2 linked regions of the Oryzias latipes genome follow. The protein of the gene in region 1 binds, or shares a complex with, the protein of each later gene. Links are inferred from orthologs where the notes say so. Each region holds a gene or a part of one and is shown on either strand. Other genes may lie near its edges.

Evidence for each region. The genes of interacting proteins can lie anywhere in the genome.
Region 2: the proteins of smurf1 (region 1) and smad1 are in contact, whole or in part, in an NMR structure (PDB 2LB1), measured with the Homo sapiens proteins. The link is inferred for Oryzias latipes from reciprocal best matches to the Homo sapiens genes SMURF1 and SMAD1. Residues at the interface, in NP_065162.1 of Homo sapiens: Glu313, Val314, Arg315, Ser316, Arg321, Tyr323, Val325, Asp326, His327, Arg330, Thr331, Thr332, Gln333, Phe334; in NP_001003688.1 of Homo sapiens: Asp221, Thr222, Pro223, Pro224, Pro225, Ala226, Tyr227, Leu228, Pro229, Pro230, Glu231, Asp232.

What each region holds. Positions count from the first base shown.
Region 1 is NC_019866.2:19,096,694-19,101,030, reverse strand, and holds the end of smurf1 (E3 ubiquitin-protein ligase SMURF1), read right to left. Parts: coding exon 4,252-4,337; intron 2,640-4,251; coding exon 2,555-2,639; intron 2,481-2,554; coding exon 2,381-2,480; 3' UTR 1,044-2,380; downstream 1-1,043. UniProt on the Homo sapiens protein: E3 ubiquitin-protein ligase that acts as a negative regulator of BMP signaling pathway. Mediates ubiquitination and degradation of SMAD1 and SMAD5, 2 receptor-regulated SMADs specific for the BMP pathway.
Region 2 is NC_019859.2:18,371,353-18,376,071, forward strand, and holds the end of smad1 (mothers against decapentaplegic homolog 1), read left to right. Parts: intron 1-1,081; coding exon 1,082-1,225; 3' UTR 1,226-3,819; downstream 3,820-4,719. UniProt on the Homo sapiens protein: Transcriptional modulator that plays a role in various cellular processes, including embryonic development, cell differentiation, and tissue homeostasis.

The sequences.
Region 1 (4,337 bases):
TCTTAGCTATTCCTAGCACCTTTCTGCACTGAGATGTCTGAGGTCCTTCCAGGGATCTGCTGTAGCCACTCCTCCAGTTTCAGGGTTACTGCCCCAAGTGTTCCAATCACCACGAGCACCACTGTCACCTTCACCTTCCATGCTTTTTCCAGTTCTTTTGTGGGTTTTGAAGCATCCATTTGCTCTGCATGTCACCTGTCTGAGTAGTAGCATTCCAACAGATCCTTGTTCCCGCAGCTAGTCCATTTCCATCTTGTTCGAGTAGCCCACTTTCCATCAGGGGATGTGGTTCCCCAGCACCTGGTTGGCCGGGCGACGTCATGACGTGTTTCATTGTTTCTCATGGGGTATGAGGTTTTGCCCAAGCATCCTCACTGGATAATGTAAACATGATCATTGACCCATTAATTGCTCATTGTGACCCACTTGGAATCAAACCCAGGTTTCCTGCATGCCAGTCCTGCACTTAAGAGTCCAATTTCTTACAAAGTTTGGGTGCATGTAGAGACTTAACCCTTCTGTTATGCCCCCCCCCCAACCTTTGTTCTAATTAATGCAATAAATTAGTCACATCTGTAGTCTAAGGATTGCCCTCCAAGTTGTGTGCAGAAAGCTCCTTCTCATCTGTTTTCCATTCAAACTGTGACATTTACTGTGATTTTTGTCGTTACATATTCTTCTTTTCTTGCTTTTCACACAGATTAAAAAAATCATGATCTGATCAAGTGGTGTACAAGTAGCTGGAAATCACATTATTGGGGAGAAATGATGTTTTCCAAATCAGATAAGTTTGTATGAACATTTGAATCATTTGATAACTCATGAAAGCAGGTTATAATCAGCTTTTTGTTGGGCCTGTAAACAAGAAAAATTCTGAAAAAATAAAAAATATGTGCATTAAATAAATGTTTTTACACAAATGTAAAACAAAAAAAAAACACTTTCTATGAAAATATGCTGTTAAATATATTTTTCATTCCATAGTTGGTTGAATTCCTCAGTTTCTGTATTATTTTCTAAATCAAAAATGAAAAAAGCCAACATTAGATTTTCTTTTCAATTTAATTCATTTAATATAATCTTATTTACATTTTATTTTTTCATAAATGTTTAGTACATTGTAAGTTACAATACTTTGCATCCATTACACAGTGAACTCTGACCCTAGAAAGAAACGTCGTCTGAAATCATAATAATGCTTTTGTAACAGTCTTCAATCCACAACAGAGTTAAAGGTTTTTCCGTGTTTTATTCCACCTTTAAAACTGATTTCCTTCTTTTGGGATTTTTCATTTTTATGGCGTTTTAATGGGCTGTAGTGAACAGAAGATGGGCAGAGAAAGGTCATGGATAAAAGACAGCAAGATGGGCATTGTAACATGAATAAAAGGCTTAGAAAACATGCCACAAATAAAAAACTCCCAAAAGTGCCTTTATGTTTTCATGATTCAGGCTCATTCAGATACAAAAAAAAAAAAAAGAACATTATCCACCTTTAGAACATCAATTGAGTTAGATTTCTAAAAATTAGAGCAGGGAATATAATCTCCCTTTGACTTTATTGTAACCTGGTATATAAAAACACCAACTTTAATCATACGCTGCCAGAGTAATTCTCCGCAGTGATATGAATGCTAAAAAAAGGAACAATTCAATAAAACCCACTTTGTGGATTGCTTGAACTGCTTGAGCGTCAAGCAGTGGAGGGGTAACAGATTAGCACGAGCTCGTCGTAGAGCATATAGCAGCTTGGTCAGTCATCACTTAGTAATAAATAATAAAACATCAGAGTGGATGAGAGTGGTCGCCAAACCGAGGATCAGGCTCATTTGATCGTTTTTTTTTTTGTCTTTTAAACAGCATAACTTGAGCGCCATGCTGGACACACACATCGACATTCACACCAACTCACACTCTCCATCATGCACCCGGACATAAAAACGCACATCAAAGTGGTTAGACGTGAAGCATGAGTTACAGTCGCTCAGACAGTTCTTTGCTTTGTTCTCCGCTCCGAAGTCTCCGCTGGCGGGCCGGCGTGTGACTGTCCGGTTCAGTCCAGAGACTCAAGTGCGACAAAAGTTCTGTTTTCTTGTGGTTAGACATTCAGAAGAATGACATCATAGCTTGTTAAAACTGAAGGGTAGAAATGCTTCTCCAAAACGGGTTGAAAATTGGTTTAAAATACTTTTCTGCCCTGTCCTCACGCTGCTGTGCTTCCTCCCGCCGCCACGTCGGTCCGGAGGCGCACGGCGAACCGCGGGCGGTGGGTGTTCTCGTGAGGCTTTTTCATTTTGGGAGGGTGTGTGTATTTGTGTTAATGTGACACAGTTGTGTGCAAGTGCAGGCGTGACTGTATGAAGAGTCGCCGGTGGACACGTCACTCCACAGCGAAGCCGCAGGTTTCCTCCACAGCCGTCAGCAGCTTCTCATAAAGCTTCTCGTAGGACTCGTATGGAGGGATGTCTATTCTGTTGAAACTGGAGACACAAACACTTTTTAGTCCACACTCGAGTGCAGGTGGAGGGGAGAGCTGCACCGTCTGCATCCTCACCATGTGTGAGCTTTAGGCAGGTTGTCTGTGTTGGCGTCTATCAAGTGAATGGTGAAGAGCCTTGGTCCTGCAGAACCTGTAGAGCCTTACACAGATACATTCTAGTTATCACTGCTCTTCTTCGGAAAACAGATCAGATGAAAACGGCACTCTGGAGAAAAAGGTTTTTTTGTTTTTTAAGGGAAAATGATCTTGGACGTTTGTTAGAACCAGGAACAGAACAGAACAGAAGAGTCCTGCCAGTTCTGCCGCTTTACACCAAACAGTCATGAGAAAGCAACACTTCACATTTATCCTCATGTCTTAACCGCTAAGCGTCAAACTGATCTTCAGGTCAGATGTACAAATGGATCCGGTTTTTATTCATCCTGGAGACACAATCTAAAATCTTTCTTGTTTTGGTTCCTTATGCTTTAAGCAGAACTGACAAGGCTAAATTTAAAGACATATCATCGAGGCTCAAAATATAACGTTTTAGAGAGAAAAAAAACATGCTAGAAAGGGTGTTTTGCTTAGAGACAGAGGACTTATTGTTGCATTTAGACATGTGAGAACAAAGTGGAGTCGATCCATAGAAGAGCAGCCAAAGCAAATGTTTCATTCCACTTTTTCAGATTTATAACAAAGTAACTATAAAGTCTCCATGAGGAAATAAAACCAAAGATCTATATGTTTTATGAAATGTCAGTCTTTAGGGGTTAAAACTTTAAGTTAAGGTCTCATTTTTCTTTTTTCTGCTAGAAATCTCCAATTATTTCTTTTTTTAAAGAGTTAGAATAAAAAAAAATCGAGTTTTTGGGGATTTAAACATGTTTGTGTGGCATTTTTCTGATGGGAGGACATACAGAAAGAAAATGACTAATTTGCACAACTCAGAGGTGAATTTCTGATGACCCTCTGCTGCTCTGCAGAAGCTGTCCTAGAAAACAACACAAGTGTTTTGATTTTGGCTAAACACCATAATCATGAATAAATAAAACACTTGCAACGCTTTTACAATAAATTAAAATAAATGATTGGAGTGGGACTTGAAGTTCTTAGTAAATATTAATCTCAGTTATGGTAGTACTCAATTATATTTAAAACTGAGGTTGAATTAAAACCATAAACTAATAAAATCTATTTTACTAAAATATTAGCTTCACGTTTTGCTTATTTGTGGTTTATTTTTACATGAAATAACTAAGATTTGATGAGGAAAAGGCGATTTTTTTGGTGCACTGAAAACGATCCATGAAAAATATTTTGTTTATTTTTAAAGTTTTATATACGTTTAGTCTCTAGACTTGCCACTAAAAAAATATTTTTCTGTTTTAATTTTTAGGGGTTAAAGTTATCCAAATGAGTCATAAAATTGCTGTTTTGAAAACTGCATTTTCCCACTTAAAAATGCAGATCAGAAATATTATAGGCTTAAAAATAAACAAGCAAAATAGCCATGAGAATAATTAGCCTGACAAAATTAAATTAAGTAAGAAGGGCTACCAATCATGAAGGAGGAAAGATTTTGGGCCAAAGCTCTGCTTAATGACAAATTCTTCATCGTGCAGCAAGATACTGAGGTTCAAAGTTAGTCCAAGTGTTTAAAAGCAGCTTAAGGACTTTTGGTTTCATTTCAGATCAACAGGAGAAACTAAAGCGTTCGTTTTGATTCAACGGTTAAGTGAGTTTACTGAGTGAACCAGTGCTCGACCCACCCTGCAATGCTTTGAACCCCTGCAGGGGGACGCGGGTGGAGCCCGTGACGAACTGCAGCAGACGTCCTCTCCTCTCCTCGCTGAAG
Region 2 (4,719 bases), on another chromosome or scaffold:
AGTATGATCTGTGCTGTTATATCTTTTCTATTTATTTTAATGCTTTGCCTGTAGCCTATTTTTTATTAACAGTTATTTTAATTGTCGTCTTATGATTCCTTTATAAATGTTATTTTTAGCTTTTAAGGTAGACAAAGAAAACAGATAACAAATAACCGCCGGGCAAATTCTGGCTTATTGCAGGGATGCTTTTAAATTGAAATTGAAATTGAAGTTAACTTTTATTGGCAACAACAACCACAGATGGTTGGTGCTGCCTGTACTTACAGGTTCCTTTTGTAGCATAAATGCAAATGTCTGTCTGATGTTAAAACCAAATTGATTATCAGTAGAAAACATAAAACAATTAAAGTAATCTGAGTTATGTTGATTTCAATTACTATTTGTATAAAAAAACATTTGTATAAAAAAAGAAATGTTTATTTTTTCATCAGTGAATCCCTATTTGCAGAAATAAAAGTTACAAACAAAATACACAGATTTGCATCGTTGAGCACCAGCTGTTTCCAGCATCACTTTAAACTACTAGAACTGTCAGGACACGGTTTCCCACAATGCACTGTTTTGTAGTGATAAGGTGCCTCGCAGATACAAATTTAGTACTGCGCTGAACTGGGTAGGCGCATTGCACCCGCCCTTTTTTCTCGAGATGCTTTTATGATGATTGACATGTGACGAAGCATAAAACTAACCAGCATACACCGCACAGCAGGTGATCTGTGCAGCACTGCGTCCGCCTGGGGGATATCAAACACTATTAGATGACTCTGGTGATCACACATCCTGATAGGCTGAAGACACTTGATTTAGGTAGATTTAGGTAGTCCCGGGAGAGCTGGGACACAGGCAGGATTATGTAAATTATGTAATCCTGGAAACATTTGTTTTTAAATATTTCTTATATATTAAAAAAAGTTCTGCACATTTGTAATTCATGTGAAAACATAGTTTGATTTACAAGACATTCTTGCATTCCTATAAATAATTGCCAGTTGTTAAAAATATATTTTTTTAAAAAGACAAAAGAAAAATGAACAGATATAACTAGTTTAGTGATTTGTGCTGTTCTTTCTTCTTCTAGGGCTGGGGAGCAGAGTACCACCGTCAGGATGTGACCAGTACACCCTGCTGGATAGAGATCCATCTGCATGGTCCTCTACAATGGTTGGATAAGGTCCTGACCCAGATGGGCTCCCCCCACAACCCTATATCCTCTGTCTCCTAGGCTTCTGTGGCCCCAGTGGTCTCTGTCCTCAGCCCTGCGGCTGTCCACACCCCAGCATTTTTGACTAAGTAGCAAGAATAGCAGCTAACTGGTCCCAAGGTAGTTTGCGGTTTACTCCTCACTTGTAGAGTTTTGACGAAAACCCAAACTGATCTGGGACCTGCATCATTGAACAGGTCATAGGTAGGTTTGTTTTGTACTTGAAGGACACCAGAATTGGGCACATTTACAGACTGGGAGAGGGATAAGCAGAGTTAAAAGATGCAACTGGAAATTACTTGATCTTTGTGACCAATCATTTGACCGACCATCACATGCATCATGAGGTGAGCGTCCTCTTAGAACTGGCTTTCACTGTTCCTTCTATCAACTGTTCTGTCATTCTGGAAAACAACTCATTTTGTATCCAAATATTTCACTCAAAACTCAACATGAGTAGTGACAGTAGTTATGGGACCAGGTCACCAAATGTTACAGTCGGTCGATATTTTCCGTGAATTATGTTCTGCAATGGAATATATAAACGGAAAGTTCTTTTAAAAAGTACAGAATTAGCGGGGAATTTAGTTATTGCTAACTAAATTCTAACTAAAATCAGCTAACTCTGGAAACTCAACAAGCTTCTGAAAATGTTTTTTTAAAAATAAAAATGAATCATAACAACAAAACAGCCTAAATAAATCAGAAATAATTAGTGTAAGTGTAAAAAGTAGCATTTAGTTAGAGGCATGAGACTCAAAGGGCAATTCAGTCAATAAAAAAAAAAAGAAATTGAAATCTCAGTGTTGTTACTGTTGTTACATGTTTTCTTTTACGAGAATGATTAAAAAATACTATCATGACATATTTACTATTAAAAAATGTGCTGTGCAGTCTGTTTTTTTTGTTTGTTTTTTTGCGATGCATAGTTTGTTTAGTGTAGTGTTCTGCATTTAGGACTGATAACATGAAACTGCAGCAGTTTGCAGAAAGAAACGTGCCCGACATGTGGCGGCACTGCTGATGCACATCTATATACACGTCACTGTTTAGAACCATGCTTCCAGTGAAACCCACCCACCTTCATGCACTGAGACTCATGTATAGAACAAATGCATTACAGAGAGGGAAACATATTTTTTTGAAAAATCTTTAACCCTGTAACCTGTGTTGTGGAAATATTGTCACTTTTGTTTTGTCAATGAGAGTAATCATGCAAACATTGTTGATGGTGCTCCAAAAATATTTGTCATTGTCACCTTTTTTTTTTAACTGATCCTCCTCACTCTTTTCTTTATATTGTGGAGCATTAAAAACCTTTTTTTTCCTCAACACATTTTTAATCACCCTAGTGGAACTTCCTTTGCCTACTTCCTGGTATTTGCTTCCCTTTTCACCTTTGGCAAACCATCATTGCTGGTTAATGTTAAAGGATTTGCCAATGTGGGAGGCTAATTGGACTGAGTTCTTTATTTTGCGGCAAAACGTATTTGTGCCCATAAGCGTTATCGACATTTTACGAAATTCTCTGCTCAGATAAATTTATTTAAACATATGTTTAACACTCCAATGAAAGTTTTTTTCAGTCACATTTCATTTCTTCATTTTAAGGGATTTTTTTGTTTAGGTCTTGATTTGGTTTCTGACTTTTCTAGCTAGTTTTTTGTCATTTTTTTTTTTCACTATTTGTCTAGGGTCCTTTCATTGTTTTTTTTTTTTCATTGAATTACTTTCCCTTGACTTCCTATACTCACAGACAGCTGAGTTTGGATTTTGTGAAGTGTTGTCCTAATCCTATGATGGCGGTGCAAACAAAACAAAATAAACATTTCAATTTTGAAAAAAATAAAAATAGTGGTAAAAGCATATTGTAACGGGGATTAATGCTTTTGCAAACAAGCAGAGTGGGGACTGGCACGACATACTCTACAGAAATAATAGTGTTTTTGTTTACAGCACTTGAAAATTCCTTCAAATCCCTAATTTTAAACTCTGAAAGAAGGTGCGATCTTTTTTAAATGCAACTATTATCAAATACAGATGAGGTTTGCAACAAAAGTTACAATTTGTTGGATCATATTTAGAGCCATAACTGACTTCCACTGCTGCAACACAGCACAGCAAGTTCAGAAAAGCTGTTTGTTTGTTTTTGTTGGAGGAGCTGAACTAGTTTTCCTTTCGTTGACCTCGGCCCAAAAATGCTGATTCACTGAATATGGGATTGCTTCACATTTCTGCCATTACAGTGTAAATATTTTATTAAATCTCTCATATCATTTTTACAGTGGTTGGAAAAAAAACTCATTAAAATGACTTAAGTAAAAAAAATAAGCAATCAGGTGTTAACCAATGAAAGAGAAAGTGTCACTTATTCATGTCAAACTATGTTTTATTGATGTCTCTTTATCTTGTTTCTTTTCTTTTTTTTAAGATTTGTTCAGTTTTCATCCGTTCTTGCTTTGCTGAACACATAACATTCTTTTTTTTGTATTTTCAACATTTTTGCTTTGTCTGCACTTTCACATGTTGCTTCATTGTCTGTTTTGCTCAATAAGGCAGTTTTGTTCATGAATATCAAGTCTCTACTGGAAAATTCAATAAAACTGTTTCAATAATTGTCGTGTCTGTTTTTTCACCAATTTATATCAATATTTATTTAATCAATTTTCAAATAAATTTACATAAATACATTGGTCATGCACATTTCATCGGCCATTATCCCTTACTTATTATCTAATATATTCATTTGTAGATGTGCCAAAGTTCAAAGTCATGTTGCCTTAATAAAAGGTCAAAAATAGAAAAATTTGAAAATAAGAGGATGTCTGGTCAATAGCCATTCATTTATTCAAAAAATCAAAAGCAGAAATAGCAAATAATTATCTTAAAAACCAACATATGCTAAAGTCCTCACTGTTCAATAGATGGTGAAGGGATCAGAAGCAGGTTAAGGAACTACAATCGACCCAAAAGGAGACAACTTTAATCCAACTTATGGAACCAAAGCTTGACAATTTCGTAGGTTTACTGGTGATGAACACAAAAAGATAGGAAGATGAGAGAAAAATACATGTAGGTCACGATTACTGAGAACACAAGTGCTATTTCTCATTTTTCTGAAAAGCATTTTCTTGATAAAATAACCAATTGATATCTTAAAGCTTGTTAAAGAATGATGGGCAAAGCTCCGAAAGGCTGCAGGAAATCAGAAGAAATTGAAACTAAAGTCTTCATTTATCATTTAATGTATGAAAAGGTTGTACAAATACTGTGAAAACTATGAGCATTTTAACCCTTGTGCTTTCCTAGGCACTTTAACATTGAGAGTTGGGTCATCTAGACCCATTGAACCTTTTTTCAGTGATTTGTGATCTTCACTGGTGTCCATGGATTACATGAAATCCTCTCCACCTTTATCCACCTTTGTCATGGTAGGGAGAACATGGCTGAGTTCTTAGACTTTCACCAGTCATCAGGTTGTTATTTGCTTTTGTCAGGCTTGATAAGTTTCTTTT